Arabidopsis thaliana: one gene and its partners. The protein of the gene in region 2 interacts with the protein of the main gene of each other region in a pairwise test. Each region holds a gene or a part of one and is shown on either strand. Other genes may lie near its edges.

Region 1 (3,550 bases), on a different chromosome or scaffold from region 2:
ACTGAGTCTCAGCTTCGGGAATTGCGTTTTGGGTAGCGAATTACAAAACCAACACGAAGACTGGGAAGAAGTGGGCAGCGGAGATTTGAGGAGAGGCTTAGTCTGTAAATTGGGTGTGTGTGTTGAAGTGAAGAGAGCTTCCATGGTGGATGAGAATAAGATTTTGGTTGAAGAGTCTTCTGATCTTTCACTATAGGCAGATGCTTCAGGCGTCTTTGTTGAAAGTAGCTTTAGGAATTAGGACTTTTCCAGAGTAGGGTTTGTATAACACACACATACATATAAGGGTTTTTCTTTTTCTTTTGGCTTTTTTTTTATAGTTGGATTACGATTACTTTTGTCCTTAGGAATTACTTTTGATGTATTTTCTATTCTCTTTTGTTTTGTTTTGATGTTGATAATAACGAATTTTCCTTGAAATAAGAAAATCAGTTTCTTTTCAATTTACAATTTTTATTGATAATAACATAATATTCTAAGAAATTATCTTTGTTTAAAAAAATTGGGAAAGAAAAGATTTCAATTTCATCTCAAAAGAACCTGATAATGACTATTGGATTACCATTATTCCGTTTCTAAAATCTTCTTACTGTTGATTAAAAAAATTAAATCTCCTCTAAAGAAATATCTATCATCTCAATTGGTTCAGACCATTTTTAGTTTACGTTGAAAAGAAAGATCAAACAGATCAATGACACAAACTATAATTAAGGCACTAAACACTAAATGTCCTAATTTGCATAATGCGGGACCCATGTCAATAATATTTCTCAAACGTTGTCGTTTTCAGCCCATCCTTCCTCCGAATCCACGCGCCACCGTCTAAGCTGCTGCGTCATTGCACGCGCCAATTTGCTTTCAACCGCTCGAATCATCCCAGCTGAAACTCCAGTCACATCTTCTACTTTCTTTAAATTCTGCCACGTCGTCGTGTTCTTAACGCCGAACCAAAACGCCGCCGCTAAGAACACTCTCTTCGTCGCTCTTGGCCTCGTCTCCACAGCCAAAGCCAAAGACGCATATGAAACGACAGCGTTTGTTAAATCCCTGTTTAGTCCTAACTTACCACACCAATTTACAAAAATGCCATCCGCCACCGTAACCGCAACGGCCTTGGCATTCACTCTGTTTTCCCTCCCTCGCGCTCTGTTTACGTCACGCGTCGTTGACGATAGCTCGGAGCTTGAGACACAGTCAAGAGACGAGCAGCAAGAAGAAGACGACGATTCTGAACAACATGTTGTTCGTGGAGGCCAAGGAAGAAGAGGACCAGAAACGAAATTTTGAGTAAGAGATTTGCAATTTGGGCAGATGACACGCCGGAAATGACGAGCGAAGAGAAAATTTGAGGCATGGAACTTAGCGTCACAAGAACGGCAGAGGAAGGCAGAGTCCGCGGCACAATGGAGATCAGCTTCGGCACCACAAAGCTCGCAAAAGCTCACCATTGAGTCGATCTCTCTGATCACCAGAAAGAAGTGAGAGAGAATTGGTTTGGAATGATGATGGTGGGAAGAGAGATTTAAGGAAGAGATGTAAATGATTGAGGGAGAGAAAGAGCGGTGGAGTTTTTATGGTTCATGGTTGATGAGAGTAGTCTCTTCCACAGTTCACACATCAAAGAAACTTACATGAGCCATAATTTTTTAGGGAAATGAAATGAATGGTGTTTGTAGAATTGGAGAGAATGACGTGTCGTGAGGTTTTGAGGCTGGTGAGATTATGTGGTCATTTTTAAAACTATTACACTAGCCGCCAAGTCATTCGTCTTCCTTTTGGTGTGACGTGGAGATTTAGTCAACACTAATGTCTTTTCAGAGACTTGGTCTCATTGCAAATTGCTTCTTCTTCTTTTCTTGGTTGCTTCCATTACATTTCTTCTGCATTGTTGCAGTCTTTTATATAAACTTTTATACATTGATCTTTTGTCGAATACAAAACAGAAGATAATACTCTTAATTTATAATCTAAGGAGTAAGGATACAAAACACAAGGTGTAAACTGTGGTGAACCTGTTTGGGTTCTGATCCCAACTAGTACAACAATAGTCTATATCTTGAAATCTTTCCAAAAATGGTTTCTTAAATAAAAGGGTCTTTGAATAGCCAAGCTAAATCCAATTGCTCTGTTAAGATATATCCATAGAGCCCCTCCTACGAATCACACTGTGACCTCTCCAGGGAGTTTTACTTCTTTGTTATCCGACCATAATGCCTCTGGCGTATTCTAAATGCCGGTTTTCGTAGCAGTACTTTGTTGGATTGTTTGAGATTTACCTGATCGTTTCGAGACTTAATCTTAAGTGGATGAGCTTCGGTGTTGAATACCCACTCGTCTAAAGGAATGACTGTTGTCGGCGAGAAGAGTAGATAGAGATACTTGAGTGTCTCTGCAAGGAAGAAACTTTGCATCTTGTTGTCCTTAACGCCTGTATTAACCTGGAAATGATTGAAAGAAATAAGAATCTACCATCAGTTACACTCAATTACTAATATAGATGGTGGAATGATATAATTCAATTCACCAAGGTTTTAACAATGCAGGATCTAATTAAGCGCCTACGGAAAACTTACATCCTTCAAACCAACATATCCAGACTCTATGCGCGAGTTCTTCTCAAATGCTTCAAATATATTCCATCCCCACTCTTGATATGTCTTGTTTCCAGTTAACCGCCAGAGGTAAAACAGTGATTCGACAGTTTCTGGTCTCAAGATGTTCCACGACGTTCCAACACTCATGTCCTGAATCATCATGTATACTAAACAATAAATAACGCATAAAATAAACAATGTGTTTGAAAAAGACAGGCAAATGACATACACTCCCAGAGTTGAAGAAATAATTCTCCCCAGCCAGTTTTGTTGGAGTTGATTGGTAAAAGTTATAACATGTCCACGCAAGCTGCAAAATATGTGGAAAATAGCAATAAAGGCTATATCTCAGCAGCCTAAATCAGAAAAGCAGAGAGCGAAAAATTCGAAAGATCTGAAGCACTTACGACGCTATGATCAAAGATCATTCAAGTCATAAGTTTACCTCTTCAGCGAGTGTGAGAAACTTCTTTCCTTCAGCAGGATCACTATACCCAGATGCTCCTAAAGCCAACATTCCAGGAGCAAAGCATGCCAATTCATCCATCTTAATATATATGAGAAATAATGAGATTGGAAATGCCAGGCGATGAAGAATTTTCACGTAATACAATGGAAACAATGAACAGATGGGTTTACCTTATCGATCAAAGAATTTCCACTCTTCTCACAGATATATGTAAACGACAAAGGTGTTGATTTCTTAACCAAGCTTAGCAGACCATTCATTGACTTCTCCCACATATCTCTGATGCCAAGATGTCAAGTAATAACAGTACAAATTATTATTGTTCGGCTAAAGATGTTGAAACTAAAAGACCAGAAAAGAAAAGAAGAACATAGATATCAAGCAGAAAGATAAATGTGATGGCAGCTGGTTGAACTTAGCGGACTTGAATCAATCAGACATATATACACTCAGTAGACTAGAGTTAAACTTACCTATAGTGTTTCAC
Region 2 (5,356 bases):
CGTTGTCGAAATGCTTAGAATAACTCATCGTGAATGATAAGATTATTATCTTTTGATAAGATAAAGATAGAAAATGATCATGCAACAACAAAAAAGGAAACTTCCTGAAAGAAGATAAGCTTAGTTCGGAAGACTACTTGGGCCGTCCCCTGAAACAGAAGTTTATCGCGCAAGAATAATTGGGCCTTATATCAGATCCTTTGGCCCAGCCCGTTAGTATTAGACAAGACCAGTTGCGTGCGTCATTGTTGAATATTTCGAAGTTTGATGATCGATCGTCGCTCAAAATTTAGGGCTTTTCACTTCACAATCCCGATTTGGGGTTTTCTGGTAAACTCCTTTAATCTCAGCTCGTCAGACAAAATCGATCTGGGATGAATTTGGATCTAATTGAGCAAAAAATTGTGTTTTTTCAATCTATTGAATTTCACATCCTTAAACCCTTGCATATTCAATCTATTGAATTTCGCATATTTTTCCTCAAATTTATCCAAAATCATCCCAAATCTATTGTGACGGGTTGAAAGTAAGTTTCTTTATCGAAAATCAGTTTGAATGAATGTTAGGGTTTATATTTTGATGGTGACTGATTCCGATTTGTATAAATGTTAGGGTTTATACTGGTTTCTGACTCTCTGGTAAGTATAGAGATGATTATATATTAAATGGTGTTTTAAGGCGTGTTCAGATATAGCTGTGCTTGTGTTGTTCTGTTTTGGCATTTTTCATTTGTTCTGTCTTTACTTCTTCTTAGTCAGTCTGTGGATTTCCTTTGTAATGGTTATTGGTTAGTTAGGAACTACTCTCAGGCCTTCTTCACATGACACCAAAGTTTTTTGTGGATTATGTGGAGGAAATTGCTATTTTAGTATATGGTCATTGAAGCAAGATAAGAACCTTAGAAAGCAGAGTGTTATAATTTTTCTGTCAAACTCATGCTGTAGTTGCAGACTTTTTCCTACTTCAGATTAAGGAGAATGGTTTTTTTTTTGTAAGCAAGAAGTTAAAAGAGTGAGAATCTATGAAGGCCCAGGGACCATGTAAAGTTTGGGAATGGTTTTAAAATTTGATGGCTTTGAGAATCGATCTGAACTATCCTTAGATTTTTGGAAAAGTGCAAAAAAGTGCAAAGTGCAGCATCCTTATATCACTTTATGAACTTTTCACGTGAGGTCTCGAATCCATCACTTAACATTAACACATAGTATAAGCTATACACTTGGTTGTTATTACTTATTTCTTCTTACAGTTCTTGAAGCCGAGAACATATATGGCTGATGGTTTCTACAATTAGGAACGTGATATGACTCATTTTAGTAAGAAGTTGTGATTTACAGCTGAGGAGTCTGTGTTATCAACTTGAATTGTAGAATCTTTTTGTTGTCAGGGAGGCGTGAAAGTGTCACATGTTCAGGTTATCGGGAAGTTATTGGCTTTGAACCTTGGCTTCCCTCTTAGTAGTTAGCAAGGTGAAATCTGCGTTTTCACTTCTTGATGATCCATATTTCACAAATGGGGATCTGTACCAATTAGACTGGTTTTGTTTAACTAATGCAGAGAAAGAAGAATACTATAGTTTTAATTAGCCAAAACTACAAACCCATTTGCACAACAGTAGTAATACTTCTTGAAGCTAAGAATTTCACCAAACCTAACATAATCTCAAACTAAAAGTAATTTACAGCTTGCAATCTAGTTTTTCTTTTTGCCACAGGAGTATCAGAATGAAGGAACAATCCCATATCCTGTGTTGTACATTAGCATCGTGTTGAACCCTTGCTCCTCGGCTTCGATTTCTCTCTTTGCGAACCGGCCATTGACCCGCGGTCTTATCTCTGCATATGCCTTCCTCGAAGCATACCTTATTGTCTTCTCAAATTTCCTTGTCTTCCTCTTCTCTCTGTATCTCAGGACCCTGGCTTCTCTGTCCATTGGACTGAGTTGTGTTACTGTTATCATCTGGCTTGCAGGGTCAGGTTGTTGCTCTACTGTCCCTTTGGGCGTTCTTGGGTGTGAAGCTGTTGTGACACATGCTGTTGACTCCGGCACAACACCAGTTTCCATGGATGAAATGTATGCCTAATGACAGAAACAAAGACATTCTCAATCCCCCTGGTAAGAGGACTAAAGAGAGTCGATGCAAAAGGAAGCATATATTGTTTTTATTATAGACTTCTGGTGAAATTTCTATGTGCTATAGATCAACTGTTGGCAGTGGATCAGTGGATTTGTGTGTATGATGAAAGAATTCACCCTGCTGCGTTATGGGAAGATGCTAAATTGAAGGGGTAACAAATATACAAAAGCCTTACGTTATGGTTAATGGAACCATTGTCGTTGTAGTGAGTCCCTGAGGAGCCATATTTGATATTGAACTGAAAATTCTGTTGGTTATGGCACTGGTGGCCCCTTGATTCTTCAAGTTTAAGCGGAACAACTCTATCTCCCCCGTAGCTCGTCTGTGGTACGCTGCAGTTTTGTTGGTGTTGACTGTATTCACCTGTGAATTTGTAGTCCATACTCGAGTTGTAATCCACAAGGTTTAGATACTCATCACTAAACAATAACCCATTGTTTTGGTTATTGTTATTTTTGTCTGAATTAGGGAACAGCCACGAAGCAACCTCCTTGGCATCCTTATCACCTTCTTCACCTTCCTCTTGATCCACCACCAGTCTCTTCTCTGGATCGGTCATTGTTTTCTCGCTTTGGTGGTGAGTAGTGGTCATGGAGCTGAAAGAGTTTCCAGAAATTGGTAGAATTGGAACTCGCTGATGGCGTCTAGCAAGTGGGTTTGCAGAATGAACCTCTGAATCACAGGCTGTGCATAGAGAGGCATCATCTGCCTCACACAAAAAAGCAGCCGGAGCACGCTCACATGACTCGCAGACCCGGACACGTTTATGGCGGGAAGCAACGCGATTGGCAGAGTGAACTTGAGCATCACAGCTCATGCACAAGTAGGCAGAATCTGCATGGCAATACACGGTGCAGGCGTTTGACCGGCATGTGTCACAGGGTCGTGCCCTGTTGTTCTCTCCACTACCTATGTCGTTACTCTCTTGTTTCAACATAATAACTCAGATGTAGTAAGTTTGATGGTGTGGGAGCTGGTATCTGAAAGAAGGGGCTAATAAAGCTTATATCTGGTGTGAGAGAATAAGTAGAGGGGAGATCGAATCCTGAGTGCCTACACGTGGCACAGCGTTAGTGGCTCTTACATGTTATTGGATCCTCTTGCAGCTAGTTGAGCTTTTGGGAAGGCCTATGTGTAAAGTGTAAAGTGTAAAGTGTAAAGTGTAAACATCTCCTCCTATGCACTTCTTCGTTGGGACCCGTTCACAAGTTGCTTAGGTTTTGCCACTTGCCATACTGAGATTCTCAAGAGGAAGTGGTCCGGATAATGCCATGGTGTTGCAGGCAAATTGTTACTATTTTTTCGTATCACCTTTTACTATTTTCATATGCATTTTATTTAAAGTAAAGCTAGATTCGTTTTATCTCTTTGGCTTTATACAAAGTTTAAGTGGTTGAATATTCATCCTGAACCTTGTGATTACTGTTCAGGTATCTCTCCGAGTAAGGCTTCGAGTGTCAGAGCCATCACCAACTGTTATGGGTTGACTACCTATACAAAGGTTAGACAAACTCGTGAATATGGTATAGTTGTTGTTCCATTATTTGTGAATGCATCTGCATCATTTAGAAAGATTTGCAATTGAAACTTTCGAAGGATTTTCTGATGAAAAGTGTTATAATGTTTAATCTGGTTCATAAAGTCATGGTAATGAGAATCATATCGGAAAAGTGACATGAAAAACATAGAGACGGTGGATTTTCTAGGATCAAACTCGAATCCGCCAAGTAGTCTTGAGACTACAAATTAGAATTTACCTGACGCACAAGTTAAAACTTAAAAGGCATTTTGGAGTCCACATGAGCAATAATTAGATTTATCATATATAGTATGTAGAAATTTGCACTTGGTAACCATTATAGTAAGTAGTTACAAAACATGACTCATGAGTGTTGTCACATCTCTGTAATTTGGGTTTATGATGATACTCTATACTATTTATTGTAGCTTTATTAGATCTCAACCTGTGGAAGTAATCTAATACAAACGACACTTGTATGGAATTTTCAGGACATGTTTCTAAGATCACAGAGGTAATTGTGAAGTTTTCTGCTACACTCATTTACTAGTCCACATGATCCATAGATGCAATTTAACCATCTTCACTCTATTTGGTGACCCATTCATGTGTTTAGCATCGTGGGTTTTCCTGTACTAATAACCATTAGTACTTGGAGTTGCCTTGTTGGTGTTATGCTCATAATGTTTACTATGTGGAAGCTACAGGATACGATACTCTCTAGGTTTGAGGACTAGCTCCAGTTACGCTTTTGGGTCCAGTGAATGTATGATACCCATTATGTGGTCCAAAAAGAATGAGATTTGACGGACGCTCTAGTGGCCAAATTCATATGGCTACCTTCACTCTATGCCTTAAGAGCTGAAAAGTGAGTGTTTTTTTTTTGTATAAAATGCTGGTCCTAGGATACACTTTTCGCATCTCTTCCTCTTTCATATTTGCTTACACCGCACTTCTCTTTCCCATTTTGAACTTTAAACTTTGAAAAGTTTTTTTTTGCTTGGTAATTGGAACTTAACATACAAGTTCTTGTTATTTACTGGTTTTACGATGAATGTAATGGCATTTAGAATTGTTATGAAATGGTTATATGATCATTGAATTCTAAAGAAAAGATTCTAGGTTCTTTAGTAAGCATTTTTGGAGATCTTTATCCTGCCAAGTTGGATAAGTTGAGGCATCTTTGGCTTTTAGTGCTTTGGTGATGAAATTTTTTGGAGATTGTAACGTGGTTCGAGTTCATGAAGAGTAAATTGTGTATTGGCCTTTTCACTTGTAGCTCAAGAAAAAAGTAGTTTTGCTTATTATTGCTCGTTGACAGTCTCTAATTAAGTTTATTGTTGTAGCGGTTTGGAACTTCTCTCACATGTGTAGGCCTTCGGATAACTGTTACGAGTAATAGATCATATGTAACAATATCCTCAAAGTTGCATCGAGATTTTCAAGAAAACACTATTGCTTATTTGTTTTCATTCTTTATCAGGTTTCCGTGGTTTCGAATACTTTGCTTCTTTCAGATTAACGAAAACCCTATTTAGTTGCAAAGACTGAGAAGAGAATAAGAGTCGAGGGACCATATAAAGCTTGTAATTGTACGTTTATGCGGATTCTCCACTTTCCATGGCTGTGAGAAACTATCTGAGGAAAAGTGCAGTGACCTTTGGCAAAAGGTAATCACTTTTATGCACTTTCACGTGCTA
Region 3 (7,818 bases), 2.0 Mb from region 2:
TCCACATTCCGGACATGACATAGAAAACATCGATTTTTGCAGCGGCTGACTTCATTCGGAAGAGTTGAAAGTAATGTTTCATGGCATTCTCGACTAGAGAACGAAGCTCTATATCACTAACTTGTCCATGTAAAACCGTTCTTAGTTCACATATTTGCCTGTTCTGTTCTTCCACCCAATGTCCATATTCCATCTCAAATGCAACAATCCCTAACAAGAAAAAGAAAACTGATGAATCTCAAAATCAAATGGAAACTACCTAAACGCTAAAGGTGAAAGAAGACTCAAACCTGAGCTCATGTTATCTGAGAAACTAAGAGCATTGGTATCTACTCCGTTCCCCACATAGAAACCCTGCAACATTATGATCATATATTATTACATCAACAAGATACTTAAGGAAGAATAATATTTTGTGCAAACCTGTTGTCTAGCACGATCGAGTTCTTGCTCTAAATGAATTAGCTTTAACCGGCTAGTCTCTAGCTGCTGAACATAAGCCTGCAAGAAAATACTCTATAGCTCAGTTTAAAGAAAACAAAACTGTTTTACGAGTTGCAGGAACATAAAGTTTCATACTTTCTTGCGCAAACGACTTTTCCTAGCTGCCTCTCGATTCTGTGCTAGCCTTCTCTGTATCTGTGAAGACATAAAGATTAAAATGACAAAATCTTCAAGGAATTAAGATAACCAAATGAGCTATATTATAACTTACCTTATCAGGATGTCTAGATGTGGAAGCCTCTTGGTCAAACTTGTGAGGAGTTCCTTCTGTCCCATGAGAAGTATCCTCTGACTGAACAAAGATTAAAGCAAGCATTAGTTTCTGAATTCACTTTATCTGAAATATATAGCAAACTTTGAAGTACCAAGCTGTCTGGTTTTTCGTTAGTCGGGATTATGATAGAGCCAGGCGTATACATGTCTCCATTGTTCTTGAAACTTTCTTCCCACATACCGATTTGGTTGAGAGGCTCGTAAACTTCAAACCTTCTCGGTGGAACAAAATGTGTCGAGGTTGTATTCATATTTCTTCAACTAGCAACAAAACAAAAAAAAAAAAATACAAAACTTCATTCATCAAAGTCAAGAATTGCAAAAGATACAAGATCACAAGTTAAAGAGATATGTAAGTGATTTGCAGCCAAAAGCAAAGGTTGTGACATTAAGTCATTATCCATCACCCAATTCGTCAACGCTAGCTACTACCTTCCCTACATCTATAAGCTCCATTGATATGGCGAAACATCGGAGTCATCATATACACCCGAAAAGCCCTGTTCTTTTACTAGTGTCTTTTGAAAGGTTGTCAAATAGATACAAGTCACTGAATTTTGTTCTCAAAACCTCTAATTGCATTTCCAAAAACAGACCAAACTCTAATGTCATTGTCAGTTATTGGTTCCTACTGTATCTTCTTCTTTTAGCCACTAATGGTGGACCATCTTAAACACCTCCCAATAAGGAAAAAAAATCCATTACTCTCACCCAGTGATTTGATATAACATTCTTGTTATAAAAGTCAAGATTCGATTATAAGATATAGAACCAAATTATCACATAGCAAATCATGAAATGGTATATCAGAAGCAACCATCAGAATAAAAGTTACAGCTTCAATAAGAGAATGAAACAGAGAAACACAAAGTTTGAACCTTTTTTTGCAGTCAAGCAGAGATAATGATATTCATATCAACCAAGAGATGAAAATTCAGAAAGAAGAGAGATCCGAAGTCGAACCTTGTTCTGGTCTTTTGTGTCAAAAGGGCTTCAAAAAAGACGAACTTTTCCCGCGGAAACCATGAAAAGAGAAAACTAAAGCTAGATGAACTTTTCACTTTCAGCGACGAAATCGAACGCTAAGCCTAGAAATCTGCAGCTTAAACCGGTCTGATAGAATAAGGGATGGTAAAATCTCGTTCTCTGAACTTGTCATCTCGAAGAAGGAGAAGAAGAATCATTCAAGAGAGAACACGACAACTTTAAAAGAGAGACCTTTGATTGAGTTTTCTAAATTTTTCTATATCCTAATAAATGTCAATAAAAATATATATACTAACATTTATTTCTGTTTTTTTTTTTGGTTTGTTGATTCTTCGGTGATATTTGTCCTTTAAGTATATGTACTAGATACATCAGCTACACAGTCAAAAACCAAATTTTGACATGTTTAAGATACCTTTAAGTCCATAATTTATTCGATTACTAATTTAATTTTGTTTCTGGTTATTCTGTATTTCTCTCATTTGTCATGTCTCCACTACCTCGCTGATGTTACACACCAAGTATATTGGAAAATTATTCAGTAATAATAATTCATACTCTTTTAAGTTTTCCAACGATATATTTATTATCCATCACACGTCAAAGTTTGCGGCGAGTCTCGTCGGTGATGACGTGCCAATTGACGGCACACGCGCGGCTTAGTAGCGCGTGGGAAGAGGGTAAATTACTAAATCATATTATTGTGGTAAGATTTGTCGCGGGAATGAGAGAAGCGGTTAAACTTTCTAACTTCTATGTTGGGATTTATAAGACATCAATCAAAACAAAGTACTTGACATAATCGCAAGCCTGACGTCAAAATAAAAAAATAAGATGCGCGTAGTCATTAGTTTTGATAGTTCTATAGCATGCTGACCAAATATTGGGTTAAGATTACCCAATATATATAAGAGAACAATAATATTGAGGTTTCTCTATAAGCAAAACAAGAGACCGATAAGCATGTAATCTTTAAAGTTTTCAACTTACTAAGCAACGCTTATATAATAAAATTATATCAACATTTAGGCAGGCCTGCATTTAGGTATAGTTTATATCCAGGTTATGCCAACGAAAAAGATTCACATATACGTCTTGTTGTACTATTTGATAATATTTATATACTGAAAAAGATAAACGAACCTTTGCGAAGGAATCACTTAGCTGATAAAGAAATATTGAATTATTTTTGATTTAGAACAGATTGGCTCTTCAACTTGCATTGGAGTCGGAGACATATTTGTGTTGGGTGACCACAACTTCTATCCACTTGCCTCTTTACTAATTATTTTAAACACAACGAATACTAACTAATTTATGTGATTTGGTGCATTTTTCCGTGTAAACAGTATCTAACCAACTTTCCCTTTTCCTTTAGTATGTTATCATACATTCATACGTATATTATTCTTGTTCACGTATTACATTGTTTGCCTGGCAGTAATTAGTTTCCTGACATATTCACACATAATTTTTTCTTTTCCATATGATTAAGGGCTGTGAGTGAAGTCATTTAGCAAACAAAAGAAAGAAGGCTATGAATGAAGACGTCATTGAGGGAAGAGTCCTATGTCGACACAATTTTTTCAAAATATGAATAATGTATTAACAGTATTAGAATACAAAAAACATTAACAATGAAAATAAATAAATTCGAAAAGATATTAATGAGACATGACGCACAAACTCTTTGCTTTTACCTATTTGTGGAATTCTTCCCAAGTGCTATCTTATTAAAAAAAAGTGGTTTGCCACTAAGAGTGGGTGTCGTCACTCTTCTTTTTTCATTTGTATTTTTGGCTAACAATATTCATGTCTTGAATTCAATCTTTGAGTTTTCACGAACCCTGTAATATTTAACTCGACTTCTACATTCTAAAAGATATTATCTTTTAGTTTTGTTTAATTTATAAAATATTATAGAAAGGATTCTATATATGATTGAGTGCCTGAACGTAGAGCCAATCATTCGTGAACGATAAATAGTACACCAAAGATAAAACATTTTATATGAAAGTGATTTATGTTGGCGTGTTAACACCCAGTTAAATGTAGTGTGGTTCAATATTGTTCCCATTTTGAAGCAAAAGCTGAGACGATAAGTTATACATTTTTAATGTCATTCGAATTTACAAACATGGACTTTAATTATCAACTGTTTTTTCGGCACCGGAAATCTTTCGAAAAAGCTTGATTTTTTCCGAATTTTGACTATATAATATGGAAGAACCTAGTCAAGACAATCCGTAGTTGGCGGATAATCCTTAATTTCCCATAAAACTTTTTAGATTATTTGAAAAGTTAAGAATGACAAAATGTTTTGGGATTTGGTCCCGAGCCACTCGACATTTGGAAAAATGTTTTGGACGAAGGGATAAAAAGGATACGAATGCCAGGTAAATCGAAGCAAACTTGAAAGTTTTTTAAGTAATGTTTTAGAGATATTGTTGTTTCTATTTATGTATGCTCAAATGTGAGTGTGTTTGACGTGAAAAGGAACAAAAGAAGGCAGTGCAACTGTAGAAGTAGATCACACTTATCCACTAAATAGGTGTAAAGGTATGATGTTTTTATTCGATGAATTTCATTGCAAGGATTTTCTTGAAACAAATAGATAGATTTGTGAAGTAGCCAATTGAGTAGATTGTTCATATGTACATTTGACTCATAATAGTTTTTATAGCCAAGTTGATTAATTAATCGAAGTAACTTACTTTCTAAATACTCATTATATATATATATATATATATATCTTACATTCTTTCTAAATTTCATATGAATATAATATATCAAATAAAGATATATGTCTTTCTAGAAACAAAAGAAAAAGAACGTAAAATAGGAAGAAAGTAAGAAAATTGAGGAAGTCTTTGCGACATTATCCCCAAGACAAAATGGGAACTATCATCATGTTAAGATTAACTTCCTTTTCTTCTCTTTCCTTTTGGTTCCTACCTTTGACTACATTTTATCTTCTTCTTTTACTTTACTCTTTTCTTCTACTATATTATATAAAAGCTGAATATTTATCAAAAATAAAATACGTATTCTGGTCAACATCTTTCGTCTAATAGTAATTTTGGTTGAAGTAAAAGATAGATAATCTAAAAGAAGATTATTAAAATCGTCGTGGAACGAGACCTATCATTTCCTGATCCCCCGAAACAAAAAATCATGAGTTGTAAGAGCATCCCCATCAGTTTTGAAAGCCCACAAAGAGAAGAAAGATTTAATTTGAAACCAAAAAGTTTTTTTGTCAAAAACTGAAAATGTCGAGAAATGGGCTGTAAGTAAGTTTATATAAAATTGGGCTTGTAACATAAGATTGAGAAATAATAATTTATGGCCCAATAAAGTGTTTTGAACAGATTTGGGTTTCGATAATGAGGAATAAAATGATTTCACAAAAAGTATAATATTATTTGGACAATGCCGACTAATCGAGGTTTTTAAAACCATTGTCTGTAACTAAAACAAGTATTGGTGCACACACGGTATCAATAAACCAACCTAGCCAATTTTCTCTTTAAAGAAACCATCAAAGCCAATAGAAAGTAATGTGATATGATTAACATAAAAAGAAAGTGGAACATTCCTCATTCAAAACCCGCACACTGAAGCCAGTATAAATAGCTTCGTGTATCTTTGGCATAGAATTGGAGACAGACAACTGATATAGGAAGATCCAACAATGGATTCATCGGCGGACATAGCAATATTAGTGGCAGATGAATGTAACCAAAAGGTGAATACAACGGCAGAGAAAGCATCGAATACAGCGGAGGTTGGGTGGTTGATGATGTTTGGGATTGAGGAGAAGAAGATTGAAAGTCTGATGAGGAAATTTGAAGCTAAATCTCAGTTTGCTGTGGCGGTTTCTAGTGGCTTTTTTCTGCTTAACTATGTTTCATCCTTGTACTATAAGTCACGTTTGAACCTCATGCTGGAAATCTAGTTTAGGCATGATGTTACTTTCATTTGCTTCTCTAATCACCAGAGGGCATGTTGCTTTAAGTTTCGAGTTCTACAAGCTTTGGTTTTATACTCTTTTGGGTTAGTTTTTAAGTACAGTTTCTTGTAAGTTAATGGAAACGGTGTCGTAGTAAGAAAAAACAAATCATCGTAGTAATTAAGCCTAATCCGATGCATTAATTAATCTCTGAAATTTGTTGGTTTGCACAAAAAAAAAAATTCCATTGTTGTTGTTCCACGGAACTCTAAAATGGAGAGTGGCGATGAGAGTCCGGTGGTTCTAATTACGGGATGTTCTCAGGGAGGAATTGGTCACGCGCTGGCCCGTGAGTTCACTGAGAAGGGATGTCGAGTGGTGGCGACGAGTCGATCACGGAGTACGATGACGGATCTGGAGCAAGATTCGAGGTTATTCGTGAAGGAGCTTGATGTGCAATCGGACCAGAATGTGAGTAAGGTTTTGTCGGAGGTTATTGATAAGTTCGGTAAGATCGACGTTCTTGTTAATAACGCCGGAGTTCAGTGCGTTGGACCTCTGGCGGAGACTCCAATTTCCGCCATGGAAAACACATTCAACACCAATGTTTTTGGTAATAAAGATTTGATTTTTAGTTTCAATTATTACATTTATTGGAGCTTCAACAGTTCTGGTTTTTTTGCTTATTAGTGAATCATTGGAATTTACAATCCATTTCAAATGTTGATTCTGTGGACATTCAAGGAACTCAAATACGTGTTGATCATGTGTGTTGCGTTTGGGCTGTTAGGAGAGTTTTGAAGAAGTGAATTTTTCAATGCAGGTTCCATGAGGATGACTCAAGCTGTTGTACCACACATGGTGTCTAAGAAAAAGGGAAAGATTGTCAACGTTGGAAGTATCACTGTTATGGCACCTGGTCCATGGGCTGGTGTCTATACAGCTACCAAAGCTGCTATTCATGCTCTTACCGATACTCTGAGGTTTGCTTTTACCGTTTTCAGATTTGGTTCCACTGTTTTAACTTATCAAACGCCGCTATTTGTGTCGTTTGAATAATCTTCCTATGTCGCATGCTGATATATATTCTGTTTGTTCTGTCAATGGAGATTTGATGGTAGTAAACTAAAAATTGTTGAAATGGTCTAATCTTTTTTTAAGGTGTGATCAAACTTGAGTATCATTATTTCTGAGGACTAAAGTCTGATGTTGGGTTAGGTTGATGATTCTTGATGTTCATGACAAGTGTAGTTGTTCAAATTATCCAGCACCGGATGGTTTTGGTTTGTCAATTGTTTTGTAATGTTTCCTGCTTAACGTCAGGTTGGAGCTTCGTCCGTTTGGGATTGATGTCATCAATGTTGTCCCGGGAGGAATAAGAACAAACATAGCAAACTCAGCTGTGGCAACTTTCAACAAAATGCCTGAGCTGAAACTATACAAGCCTTATGAAGAAGCTATCAGAGAAAGGGCGTTTATATCACAGAGGATGAATCCAACTCCTGCAGAAACATTTGCCAGAGACACTGTAGCCGCAGTGCTGAAGAAGAATCCACCCGCTTGGTTCTCGTCAGGCAGGTATTCAACCCTCATGGCAGTCATGTATCATATGCCCTTATGGCTCAAAGATTTTTTCCAGAAGCAGGTTTTAATGAAGAAGTGATAATCAGGTTGGGGTTTAAGACAGAATGTACCTTAAACACGAATGTAAAAGCTTTGTTCAAATTGTTAATTGAATCTCTTATGTCTCCATGTTTGAGTCAGTTCGGTTCTTAAGGTATAGAAGTATACATACATACAGGAAGGAGATAGAGAGTGAACAGGAGAAATTATTACATTATGTTGTAGAAACTTGTGGTACAAATATCTGTAACGGGAAAAGGTGAGGATTCTACAACCAGAGGAACAGTAGTTCTACTTTGATTTGACCCAACAATGTAACATCGAAACCGCATTCGAGCAGATAAAAAGGGTCAGAACTATCTAAAGCTATTAACTAACATCATTTCTATTTTAAGAATGGTGTGGAGCTCCGTAATACATTATCCCTGGTGGCTGGAAAGTTGGACCTTGTTGAGATTGCTGAGCTGAGTTCGACTGAGGAA

The links. Proteins that work in one complex are often made in the same cells at the same time.
Region 1: the proteins of CO (region 2) and BBX32 interact in binary tests that used the Arabidopsis thaliana proteins (3 or more experiments, as listed by UniProt).
Region 3: the proteins of CO (region 2) and TGA4 interact in binary tests that used the Arabidopsis thaliana proteins (3 or more experiments, as listed by UniProt).

What each region holds. Positions count from the first base shown.
Region 1 is NC_003074.8:7,411,943-7,415,492, forward strand, and holds BBX32 (B-box 32), read right to left. Parts: upstream 1,786-3,550; 5' UTR 1,449-1,785; coding exon 771-1,448; 3' UTR 503-770; downstream 1-502. Other genes in the region: AT3G21140 (Pyridoxamine 5'-phosphate oxidase family protein), read right to left, coding at 1-144; MNS2 (alpha-mannosidase 2), read right to left, coding at 2,187-2,438, 2,574-2,744, 2,824-2,904, 3,040-3,141, 3,234-3,342, 3,537-3,550.
Region 2 is NC_003076.8:5,169,624-5,174,979, forward strand, and holds CO (B-box type zinc finger protein with CCT domain-containing protein), read right to left. Parts: upstream 3,463-5,356; 5' UTR 3,075-3,462; coding exon 2,313-3,074; coding exon of another isoform or gene 2,172-2,312; exon of another isoform or gene 2,080-2,171; coding exon 1,720-2,079; coding exon of another isoform or gene 1,715-1,719; 3' UTR 1,426-1,714; coding exon of another isoform or gene 1,388-1,425; 3' UTR 1,281-1,387; coding exon of another isoform or gene 1,271-1,280; 3' UTR 539-1,270; downstream 1-538. Other genes in the region: AT5G15843 (uncharacterized protein), read left to right, coding at 1,271-1,280, 1,388-1,425, 1,715-2,073, 2,172-2,288, 2,606-2,759. UniProt on the Arabidopsis thaliana protein: Transcription factor that acts in the long day flowering pathway and may mediate between the circadian clock and the control of flowering.
Region 3 is NC_003076.8:3,138,268-3,146,085, forward strand, and holds the start of TGA4 (TGACG motif-binding factor 4), read right to left. Parts: upstream 5,987-7,818; 5' UTR 5,945-5,986; exon of another isoform or gene 5,933-5,944; intron 5,891-5,932; exon of another isoform or gene 5,720-5,890; coding exon of another isoform or gene 5,456-5,719; intron 2,243-5,455; exon of another isoform or gene 1,072-2,242; 5' UTR 1,029-1,071; coding exon 870-1,028; intron 797-869; coding exon 716-796; intron 640-715; coding exon 580-639; intron 502-579; coding exon 424-501; intron 355-423; coding exon 291-354; intron 211-290; coding exon 1-210. Other genes in the region: AT5G10040 (uncharacterized protein), read left to right, coding at 5,456-5,719; AT5G10050 (NAD(P)-binding Rossmann-fold superfamily protein), read left to right, coding at 5,987-6,326, 6,537-6,696, 7,037-7,376; AT5G10060 (ENTH/VHS family protein), read right to left, coding at 7,727-7,818.